Linked DNA regions of Danio rerio. The protein of the gene in region 1 interacts with the protein of each later gene in a pairwise test. Links are inferred from orthologs where the notes say so. Each region holds a gene or a part of one and is shown on either strand. Other genes may lie near its edges.

What was found.
Region 2: the proteins of tbr1b (region 1) and foxp2 interact in a two-hybrid assay, tested with the Homo sapiens proteins (2 studies listed by BioGRID and IntAct, with this or other methods). The link is inferred for Danio rerio from reciprocal best matches to the Homo sapiens genes TBR1 and FOXP2.
Region 3: the proteins of tbr1b (region 1) and caska interact in a two-hybrid assay, tested with the Homo sapiens proteins (2 studies listed by BioGRID and IntAct). The link is inferred for Danio rerio from reciprocal best matches to the Homo sapiens genes TBR1 and CASK.

What each region holds. Positions count from the first base shown.
Region 1 is NC_133184.1:53,420,547-53,424,309, forward strand, and holds the end of tbr1b (T-box brain protein 1b), read right to left. Parts: intron 3,034-3,763; coding exon 2,184-3,033; 3' UTR 498-2,183; downstream 1-497. UniProt on the Homo sapiens protein: Transcriptional repressor involved in multiple aspects of cortical development, including neuronal migration, laminar and areal identity, and axonal projection.
Region 2 is NC_133179.1:6,895,563-6,898,315, forward strand, and holds part of foxp2 (forkhead box protein P2), read right to left. Parts: intron 1,411-2,753; coding exon 1,266-1,410; 3' UTR 1-1,265. UniProt on the Homo sapiens protein: Transcriptional repressor that may play a role in the specification and differentiation of lung epithelium. May also play a role in developing neural, gastrointestinal and cardiovascular tissues.
Region 3 is NC_133184.1:35,100,230-35,103,892, forward strand, and holds part of caska (peripheral plasma membrane protein CASK), read right to left. Parts: intron 1,403-3,663; coding exon 1,280-1,402; intron 1,155-1,279; coding exon 1,071-1,154; intron 1-1,070. UniProt on the Homo sapiens protein: Multidomain scaffolding Mg(2+)-independent protein kinase that catalyzes the phosphotransfer from ATP to proteins such as NRXN1, and plays a role in synaptic transmembrane protein anchoring and ion channel trafficking.

The DNA.
Region 1 (3,763 bases):
TAGATTTAGGACAACTTTGATGAAAGGTTTTGATGCATTACAAACGTTGACTACTATATATATATATATATATATATATATATATATATATATATATATATATATATATATATATATAAAGATAAAAATATCTGAAATGAGAAAATGAGACTGCCACACTACTGACTATTTCTGCATGCCAGATCAAATAAAAAAGGCAAGAGTAGCTTGATGCAATTTACTCAATGACTGCTCAGTGTGTATGATCAGACAGTTCAGGTCTTGGAGTTACTGTAAGAATATTTAATAAGATCAAAATACAAAGGATCTCAGTCCTAAGACTAAAATGTGTGGCTTTTCTGACAGCATGATATTTAATATTCAGTAAAGGAAGCCTCAGATAATGTGCAAAACTCCAAGACCAAGATTATGAGTCACAGATGTAATGGATTTTTTATGAATCTATTTAACCTTCAGACACAGTGAAAAAAATAGAAATTGTAAATGGTCTCAGTTGATTCAGTCTGCCTGTTTAATAATAGCATACCGCTCATTTACATACATATGAAGGTTGCATGTGGATGTAAACGAGCTTAAATAACTGAAAAAAAAACAGAAATGTCTATCATATTGACCTCTTATCATGATTGATAAAATATTGTTATGTTTTAAATTGTGCAGTAATAATATCTAGATGCAAGTCAAACCTAAAACAATGTAATTGCACTACATTAAAATATCAACCATACTAACAAATTAACTGTTTATTGTGGATGCATTCAAAATTGCTTATGAAGGTGTTTACAGCAGAGTTTTAATGAATCAGGTCACTACAATATCTAAACCCTAATTCAAAAGGTCTTAAAAACATAAATATTGGTCTGTTTTTTTTAAATCCAGGTCATGAATGGGTTTAAAATCCAATTAAATTTGCCCTGAAATGGACCATATAAAATCACAGGTGTAATGCTCACACCGCCTATATTTGACAACCAAAATGTGCCCAAATATATTCACTTAAATCTCATTATCTAAATGTATCTGGTCTGTTATTTTGTTATTAACTCTACTGTTTACCTTTTGGGCTTCTATAAATTGCAGTAAAAAATCCATCTATAAATTGTACAGAACTACCAAAGAGTTTGTTCTGGGCGATTATCTTAATTGTTGCATTGCATGACTACATTTTATTATGAAAATGCATCGAACAGGCAACGGAATTCACATTGTGACTGGCGTTTCAATATACCTCAAGAACAGGTAGAGAAAATGGTACAAATATTTGGTTTTGAAATCAGCTTAGCTTGAAGCTTGTGTACTTTGCCCGGGGTTTCACATTCTGTCATATTTATTGCAAGTAAGCACACCACAAATTACATTAGCTTTACACATTAGCAGGCCTAACTCGCGATTTTCCTCATGAGAAAACAACCCATGAAATACAAATGAAATGCCTGGGTTGTTAATACGTGGAATGGTTGTCTATGTTTTTATCTCTACAAAAAAGGTAATGGGATAAATGATTTTACGCTGGTGTGGTTAAAAACATTTCAACAAGGTTCACAAAATGAAACTACGGACTATGATATTTACGAACAAACGACGCGACTCTAAAAGCAACATCAATATAAGCTTACATAAAATCAACCTCTGACAGACATGCGTCCGCCATTTTTCCTGTCAGAGGAACTCTTTTTGGCGGGCTTTTCAACGGATTAGCAGCTACTTCCAATTCAGTCGTATCGTTTTTGTCATCACAACTGGAACCTATACGAGATGTATCCTTATTTTTTCAGACATCAAAATATTTAATATATGTAGCTATTCGAACTAACGAACGTAAGTACGTTTTCTAAGTACATTTAACATAAACCTAATTCGGTTTTCTATATTATACATCAACATTCAACGAGAAGAATCACAAATGAATAGATAAATACAATTATGTACAGTACTTTCATACTTACAATAGGTTTGACAGTTAAAACCTTAAAATGTCATTTGGTTACGAAAACCGCGTACATATTTGATCAAGTGTCCGTTTTTTTCCGTTAAAACTCGACGCGTGGCGTCCTTAGAACGACGCGACCGGATATAAGAGCAAATAAATAAACAAATAAATAAATAGCAGGACATAAATAGATTATAAGTCACTTTTGTGAATCCTTGAACACACGAGCCATGCATTAGTCGGTCCGAGTTTTCTAACTGTGGGGGTAAAAGCTGTAGTAGCCGATGTCCTTGGAGCAGTTTTTCTCGCATTCCCTCGGCGTCAACATTTCAGATTTTAATGGAGACGACGTCTCGGAAACCGGCGTGGCAGATGGCGAAATCCTCCTCCGCTTGGCTTGCTCAAAAATCCCAGAATCGCTCGAATCGATCGACTTAATTGAGGACGGGGTTTCTATCCAGCTGGATTCAGACAGGTCTTTAGGTTTGGACTCATCCGCCCCGCCTAGCGGTGACCTCTCGGGCGCAATGGGGTCTCCGTCCTCTAGTCCCGGGACCAGGTAGCTTGAGGCGGTCGTTCTGCTCCCTACGGAGTTGGACGGCCAGCAAGACAGAACAGAGCTGGATTTACTGCAATATTGCGGTGGTGTGCGGGTGCCCCACCCCGGTGGCTCGCCGTAATACCCCAGAGGTCTGTTGGAGCATCCCGCACCGGGCAGGGGCAGCGCTTTAACTCCGGCAGCTGCGTACGACAGAAGGGTGGCCGCGTTACCGGCGAAATCAGCAGCCGCAGCAGCATCGTATGCCGAGGCGGCAAAGTCCAGTCGGTTGTTGGCAGGGGTGACAAACCATCGCTGCGGGGAGGCCACCGTGGTCTCCTCGGTTTGTTGCGGGGAGAGCAAGCTGTTACTAAGTGGGACGCTGCGGTCCGTGCCAGGAGCGCCTCCGACGCCAGGGTGAAAGCGGGACTTGGCATACGAGCTGACAAATTGGTCCTGCAGGAAAGAACCAGTCATGGCATATCTTGCGCTAGGCATGATCTGAGAGCGCGGAGAGTCACCCGGGGACGGCGTCAACCGATCGATGTCGCAGCCTGTGTAGACACTGGAGAAAGATGGTGGACAAACACACGTTAATCTCGCATATGAGATGCGTGGCTGACCGTAAATAAAGTGTCGCAAACGCGCGGGAGAACAAAATATTTTATATTCTGCGCGTAATTGCGCAAATGAACAAATTAGCACCGCACACGGACAATGCATATGCTTATTGCACAAATGAGTGTTATATTAAAATATCAAACATAACTATGTTGTTTCACCCAAAACTAATAATTACAATAATGTAACAACAAGAACTACAATGATAATACAATAATAATAATAATTGGGATAATAATGATGATAATAATAATAATAATAATAATAATTACTATTATTATTATTACCAGCTCATTGTCCTAATAATAATAATAATAATAATAATAATAATAATAATAATATTATTATTATTATTATTATTGCCACCTCATTGTCCTATTATTATTATTATTATTATTATTATTATTATTAGTATAAGAAAAAGAAAAAGAAGAAGAAGAAGAAGAAGAAGAAGAAGAATAGACGGTCATTGAATGTTTGCATGGCAACAATGAGATCCTGGGAAGGAAAATTAAGATATCCAAACCCATGCCAAATCACAAACAACGCACAAATGGTTATTAATACACTGGCCAATGGGATTTCTGTCAATAAAATCATTTCTCTGTCATTTGACAGATTTATGAAAACCAGACGCGCTGATTACCAAATTAAATGCACGCGCATTATTATTC
Region 2 (2,753 bases), on another chromosome or scaffold:
ACAATGATGAGATGCTTTACGCAAATAATACTAAATGAAACTCAATTTCTGCACTTCCACGAATGGATATTTTGGTCATGATCCATTTATAGCTGCTCTCTTGCTCTACCTGGCTCGAATTCACCAGGCCATATTGAGCACTCCGTCTGTCGATCAAATTACAGCAAAATCATTTCAAATCTTTGTACAGGGCTAAAGGAGATAATCCCAGAGGTTATTCGAAGGTAGTTAGTGAAAAAAGAAATAAGGAAAAGCTTCTTTGTACTAGTCACAGAAGACTGACCAAAGAGTCTGGCGGCTTCTGTCTAAGCTATTGGCCGTTGATAGTGTTGGCTTTGGTTTCTAGCTGTTGCCTGTGACTCTCTGCAGGTAGACAAAGCTTTAGAACAAGGAGGTAAAGAGACTAGAAGAGTATGCAGAAACGCGTTGTGTTTTCTGAGATGCAACTGAATCACACGTCACGGTTTCAGCAGAAGCAGAGCTGCTAGCGAGACCTACGTTTTTTGTGTACTTTTTTTTTTTTTTTGGACGGCTGCAACAGTCTTGATACCACGGTTGTGTTATTGACGTGACTTTAAGAAATGCCATTTACAGTTGGTGGTGTCGCAAACATGACTCGGAATGAACATAAGCTTGCGGGAGGAACATAAACAACAGTGATGAGGGAGGAGGGGGGAAAATTAACAGCAACAACAACAACGGAAAACAGCTTTTTTTTTTTGTTGGTTTTTCCTTTTTAAAATTTCGTCGACATACAGGCAGTGACACTAAATTTCTGATACTACTTCATGTGCAAAAAAAGAACAGAGCAACAACTTGAATTGAACCAGCAATTGCATCTAACACCGACGACTAATGTGGCTTGGATATTCACAAACTTAAAACTTCTTTTTTTTTTGTTTTGTTTTTTTGGCAGTATATGTGGCCGCTGGCTTTCTACAGAACGCACTCGCTCCCGTTTCACTTCAGTTCCGTGAGCCTTGTGTTCGTTATGTGATTTGGCCAAGCGGATTCGGATGAAATCTTGTCCTTTTTGTTGTTCTTCCTTTTGTATGTTTGTTTTTAAAAAGCAGACCTCTCTCGTGTCTGTCCATCTGTGGTCCCTAAAGATCTGCGCTATAGATTTTCTTCGGGGCCAGTCTCCAGATGCATGCTAAATAAATACTCCCGCCTGCTGCGTCCAGTCTTTTTGCTGCGTTTGTGGTTTAGTTAAGGGGCGGGGCCTGAAAGGGGCAGAGCCCCAGCGGAGGGGTGGGGCAAAATAGTCATTCCAGATCCTCCGATAGGTTGCCCTCCTCAAGCTCCCTGTCATCATCCAGTTCAGGACTGTGATTGGCTGTGGTCACCAGTGACATCGGACAGTCCTCGTCCTCCATGTTCAGTGGCTCCTCCTTGACGTGAATGGGAGGCCTAATGAGAGAAATAACCAAGAATACAATTTAGTAAAAGGCCTGAGTGAACATGGATAAAAAGATGGGTAAATTGGGTCAATGTTTTTTAAAAAACTAGGTTTATTTGAATTAAAATACATTATTATGAATATTTGTCATGCATTTCTGCAATGTCAGTAAATTTTCATAATTTTTTTTTCATGTTCCTTTGGTTTGGCTAGGTTGCTGCCATAAGTGGTGTTTGTGAGACAAGCAGGGGGGGGCTCAACTTGCAGTCTGATTGGGTCCTAACGCCCCAGTATAGTGAAGAGAACTCTATACTGCTCAGTAAGCTCCATCTTTCAGATGAGACATTAAATCGAGGTCCTGACTCTCTGTGGTCATTAAAAATTCCAGAATTTGCCCACTGGCCTCTTTTGATCATGGTCACCTAACCATGCCCAAACCATTGGCTTCATCACTTTATTTCCTATCCACTGATTAGCTAGTGTGTGATGTGGGATCTGGCACAATATGGCTGTCGTTGCATCATCCAGGTGGATGCTGTACACTGGTGGTGGATGAGAAGATTCCCCCAAAAATGTTTCAAGCGCCTTGAATCTTCAGATAAAGCACGATATAAATGTAAGGATTAAATGCATTAATATAATGTTAAAGTACAGAGTTAAGTTTGTACTTTAATTTACAAATTTACAAAATGTATATTTTGATAACATTACACATTATTTATGATGAAACGTTTGATTATTTGAATGTGTCTTTTCTAAATATATTTTTAAATAAACCATTTTTTTAACCTGACACTAAAGTTTTGAATGCTACTTAGTAGTAAAAGTAGTAGTAGTAATAATAATAATAATAATAATAATAATAATAATAATAATAATAATGAAGATCTTGACCATTTGCAATGACTATACTGTACTAAAATACAGCAGTCTATTGTAACATCTGTTATGACCAGAGGAAAAATGGTCGTGCTCTTTTTACAATTGGTGAAGTTTGTTCCTCGCCACTGTCGCCCCGGCATGCTTGGTTTAGGACTTCAATGGATTTGTTCTTTAGTGTTTGGACTTTCAGCAGTGAAAATTAAACCACACTGAACTAAACTAAACTGAACCTCAACTCTGAAAGCTGGACTGACTTAGTTTCAATCTAGAACTTCTATGTTCAATTTACATTGTAAAATCGCTATAGAAATAAAGATGAATTAAATCTATCATTAAACAAAGATAGCGATTGACCAATCAGAAGCAAGCATTCCTGAAAGCATCTAAAAGCTTTGTATTTCATTGAACATCAGTTGAAACCTGTAACTCATCAGCTGTGCAAAAACACATGCATTCAACACAGCAAAAACAG
Region 3 (3,663 bases), about 18 Mb from region 1:
GTTGATTTTATCAACCACATTGCCACAATCAAAAACTAGTTGAAGATCATTTGTGACTTAAAAACACTATTCTGCTGAAAAAAAGCCATCAGAAAATAGCTACACTGTGGCCATGAAAGAGTGGACATGGTCAGAAGCAACACTCAGCTGTATGGTGTTCAAATGATGATTAATTGTTATTAATGGAGTGTCGAGAAATGTTACTCACATCATTAAACCACTACCATCCCCTCTTTGATACCAGGCAGGATAGATAAATGCTTTCATATTGTATTAAAATTCTGACTCTACCATCAAAATATCAAATCATAGATTAAAACAGATTTTTACAATCTAAAATGATGCCTCAGTCACCAGTGCGGCCTTCTGCTACAGTCTTCTATCTACTTTAATGCTGCATATCTTGGTATTACTAATGGTTGGTTGAGTTACTGTTGTCTTTAAATCAGCTCAAGCTAGTCAGACATTCCCTTCTTACCTTAGTCGCTGCCATGAAACTGGTTGACTAGATATTTGCATTAAAGTCAGAATGAAGTGGAAGTTGAAATTTTCCTTAAATATATCGGGTTAAAACAGCTTCTGAAATATATATGTAGGGCCAGGTAGGACTCTGTCCTTCTGGAATTTATTTGATCATTGGATGTTGTGCATTGCTAACAAAACAGAGGTAAATTTGAATGCTAGTTTGCAACTAGATTTGGAGGATTAATATTTACTAACTGTACCTCCAGCACCTTCAAAAAAAAGGATCATCTTTATGCAAACCAAGAGAGAGGCCAATATTCCAATAGAACATGGCAGGAGGTGAAGAATTGTTGTTTCGAGGGGGGTGGAAGTAAAAGGTACTAAATAATGACTATGAGAGCATATTTAAAAAATAATGAAGTAATTTATATGAATATTCTACAATATTATATGTAAAAAAAACAAAACAATAAATAGCAAAATTTAGATTTCATGCTGACTAGCGAGCAATTGAACAGGTATACCTAATAATGTGGTCAGTGATTGAATATTACACCACAGAGCATATACTGAAATTCAGAGACTGTAATGTGCTGATATCTCACTTTTAGTTTCCTCCTGGCATTGAACTTCCTCAGCTGTTCGACGGTCTCAGGAAGGTGGATCTTGTAGGCATAGCGGTCTCTCTCCTGATAGAAAACACATAAGCTTCACATCATTTCATCTCATTAAGCAAGAACAACTAAAGTGCATAAAACAACATCAGTAATATGTCTTATTCCACATCAACACATTATAGCTGTGCAGTTGATACCTTCAGCCAGGGGTGGTTGAGAGCTTCATAGACTGTGATCCTCTCTGCAGGGTCCAGCATCAGCATACGGCGCACCAGATCTTTGGCACTCTCTGAGATGTGGCCCCACTGCCGAGGGTTCATCTGTACAGCAAATGCATATATATAAATGGACAACGCCATATGCTATGAAAGCATTTTCTTTCACTGAAATGGTGCTGGTGACAGAATCAATGTTCAGTAACTGCCAACATTTCCACCAACACTGGTGAACATTGGTATGAGTGACTCCAAATTCAGTGGGCTCTATTTTAACGATCTAGGTGCAAAGTCTAAAGTGAATAGAGCAAAAGCATTAAGAGTGTGTCTGAATCCACTTTTGCTTTTTTAAGGAAAATTATGCTCTGCACTTCGGAGCATGGTCTAACAGGGTTGTGCTTATTCTCTTCATGAGTTATGGGAGTGTTGAGCTTAATATGCATTAATCCAATCATCAACGAGTCTCATCTCCTATTTCCTTTAAGAGTCAGTTATATCGGGCCATGGTGCATTTGCTATTTACATGGCAGACTTAAAACTAAACGCTTCACTAGCGAGAAACGGCTAAACAGACCATCAGTAGAGCGAGGATAAAGAACGAGTCTCCTCCATCTGGCCTCTTTACTTTCTCTTTACTTTACTTTTATCCTTTATTTTACTTCTTTACTTTTGTGGACAAGGAAACGGTGCTGTACGCACTGCACTGAAGACATTGATCAGTCTACATATTTAATTTTGTTTTTTAAATGCAGAGATTTGTATTAAAACTATTTTAAAATTCAGTTCTAATTTCTAGCAAATAAATAAATGAAAAATAATAACTGGAACCTGGAAGTCCTAATCAACATTACAAAGTGTAAAACACTTACAAAGCTCGAGACAAATTTATATTTTGAAAAACATTTTTACCTGTCATCAGACACAATTACATAGAAAAAACTATTTTACCAACGATGAAACAAATTTACATTTTTGTAAAAAAATTAACAAGATGCAAAACACTTTATCAAATCCCGAAACATATTTACTATAGAGTGGGGGAACTATGACGTTACTTTGTTGGCAAAAACCCGGAAGCGAGTTAGCATTTTAGCAATTCCGGTTCCCTTGTCCCAAAGTCAATGAATTTTTTCAATGTGATATCTGTTAAATAAGGTTCGTGGCTAACACTCACTCAAGATACTTTCACGTTTTACTCTACACCATAAAACACATCAGTTACATCACACTTAAATTTTTAAATTGGTTATGTTTCTTTAAAAAGATGGTTGCTATAAAGTTGCTAAATGGGACTACAGGCGATGTCGGGGACAATATACGTCATCGAGCTGAGCTGGTCTGGAGCGCAGCTCGCTTGTGTTAGACATTTGGATTTGTCTGTTACTTAAGTATTTTCATTAATAGTATTTTATAGTTTGTAGTATTTTTCTAATTGGGAATTCATATTGTGTAGATAATGCCTTCACTTGTAAAGGCTGTCGAGACAGACTAATTTGTTAATCACTTATTTTAATTAAACAATATTATGAACATACCAGTGCAGCCTGTCTCTTTCCTGCTCTCAGTGATGCAAACGTGAGAATAAATGTGTAAAATAAAGACATATTACCTGTTATTTTAACGTGATCAAGTGATTTTTCATCGTTTTTATCTTCATCTAAACACATTTAATACTTTCATAACTGCAATATTTACACTCCTCCATAAAATGTATAGCAAATGTGACTGTATGGGCAGCTTTTTGCTGTACTTCATGACAGAAAAGTATATTGAATGTTGCCTATGGGAAAATCCTTTGGAGATTTTATTGAGGGAACCAGTTTTATGCTATCAGCCGATTAGCCTACAAAGTGATGACATAAGTTCCCCCACTCTAAAGTAAATTTGTTTCCGGACTTATTAATTTTTTTCTAAAATGTAAATTTGTTTCGTCCTTGGTAAAATTGTTTTTCCTATGTAATTGTGTTTGATGACAGGTAAAAATGTTTTTCAAAATGTAAAAGTGTTTCACACTTTATAATGTTGTTTTGCATTTCCCGGCCACCGTAGTGATGGCTAAGCAAAGCATGTAAATAAAGTATTGGAGAAACCTGCCCAGCTACTGACCACACAAGTTAATCAACAAAAGTGTTTCTTTAGCCTGAAAGTATCACCCAAAGACAAAGGAAGAGTCATTAAGACCATGCCTCTAGCATTTGCATCACCCTGGCACAGTCAATGCTGAGAAGGCAATTGGTTTTAAGGTCTGTCACACCCTAGCTAGATTATTGTTAATTTGGAACTAGATTATTTAAATTTATCTTCCCACATATCTATTTTGATACTTTATTGTTTTCATATGTAAAGATATTTGTGTATTGCTGTAC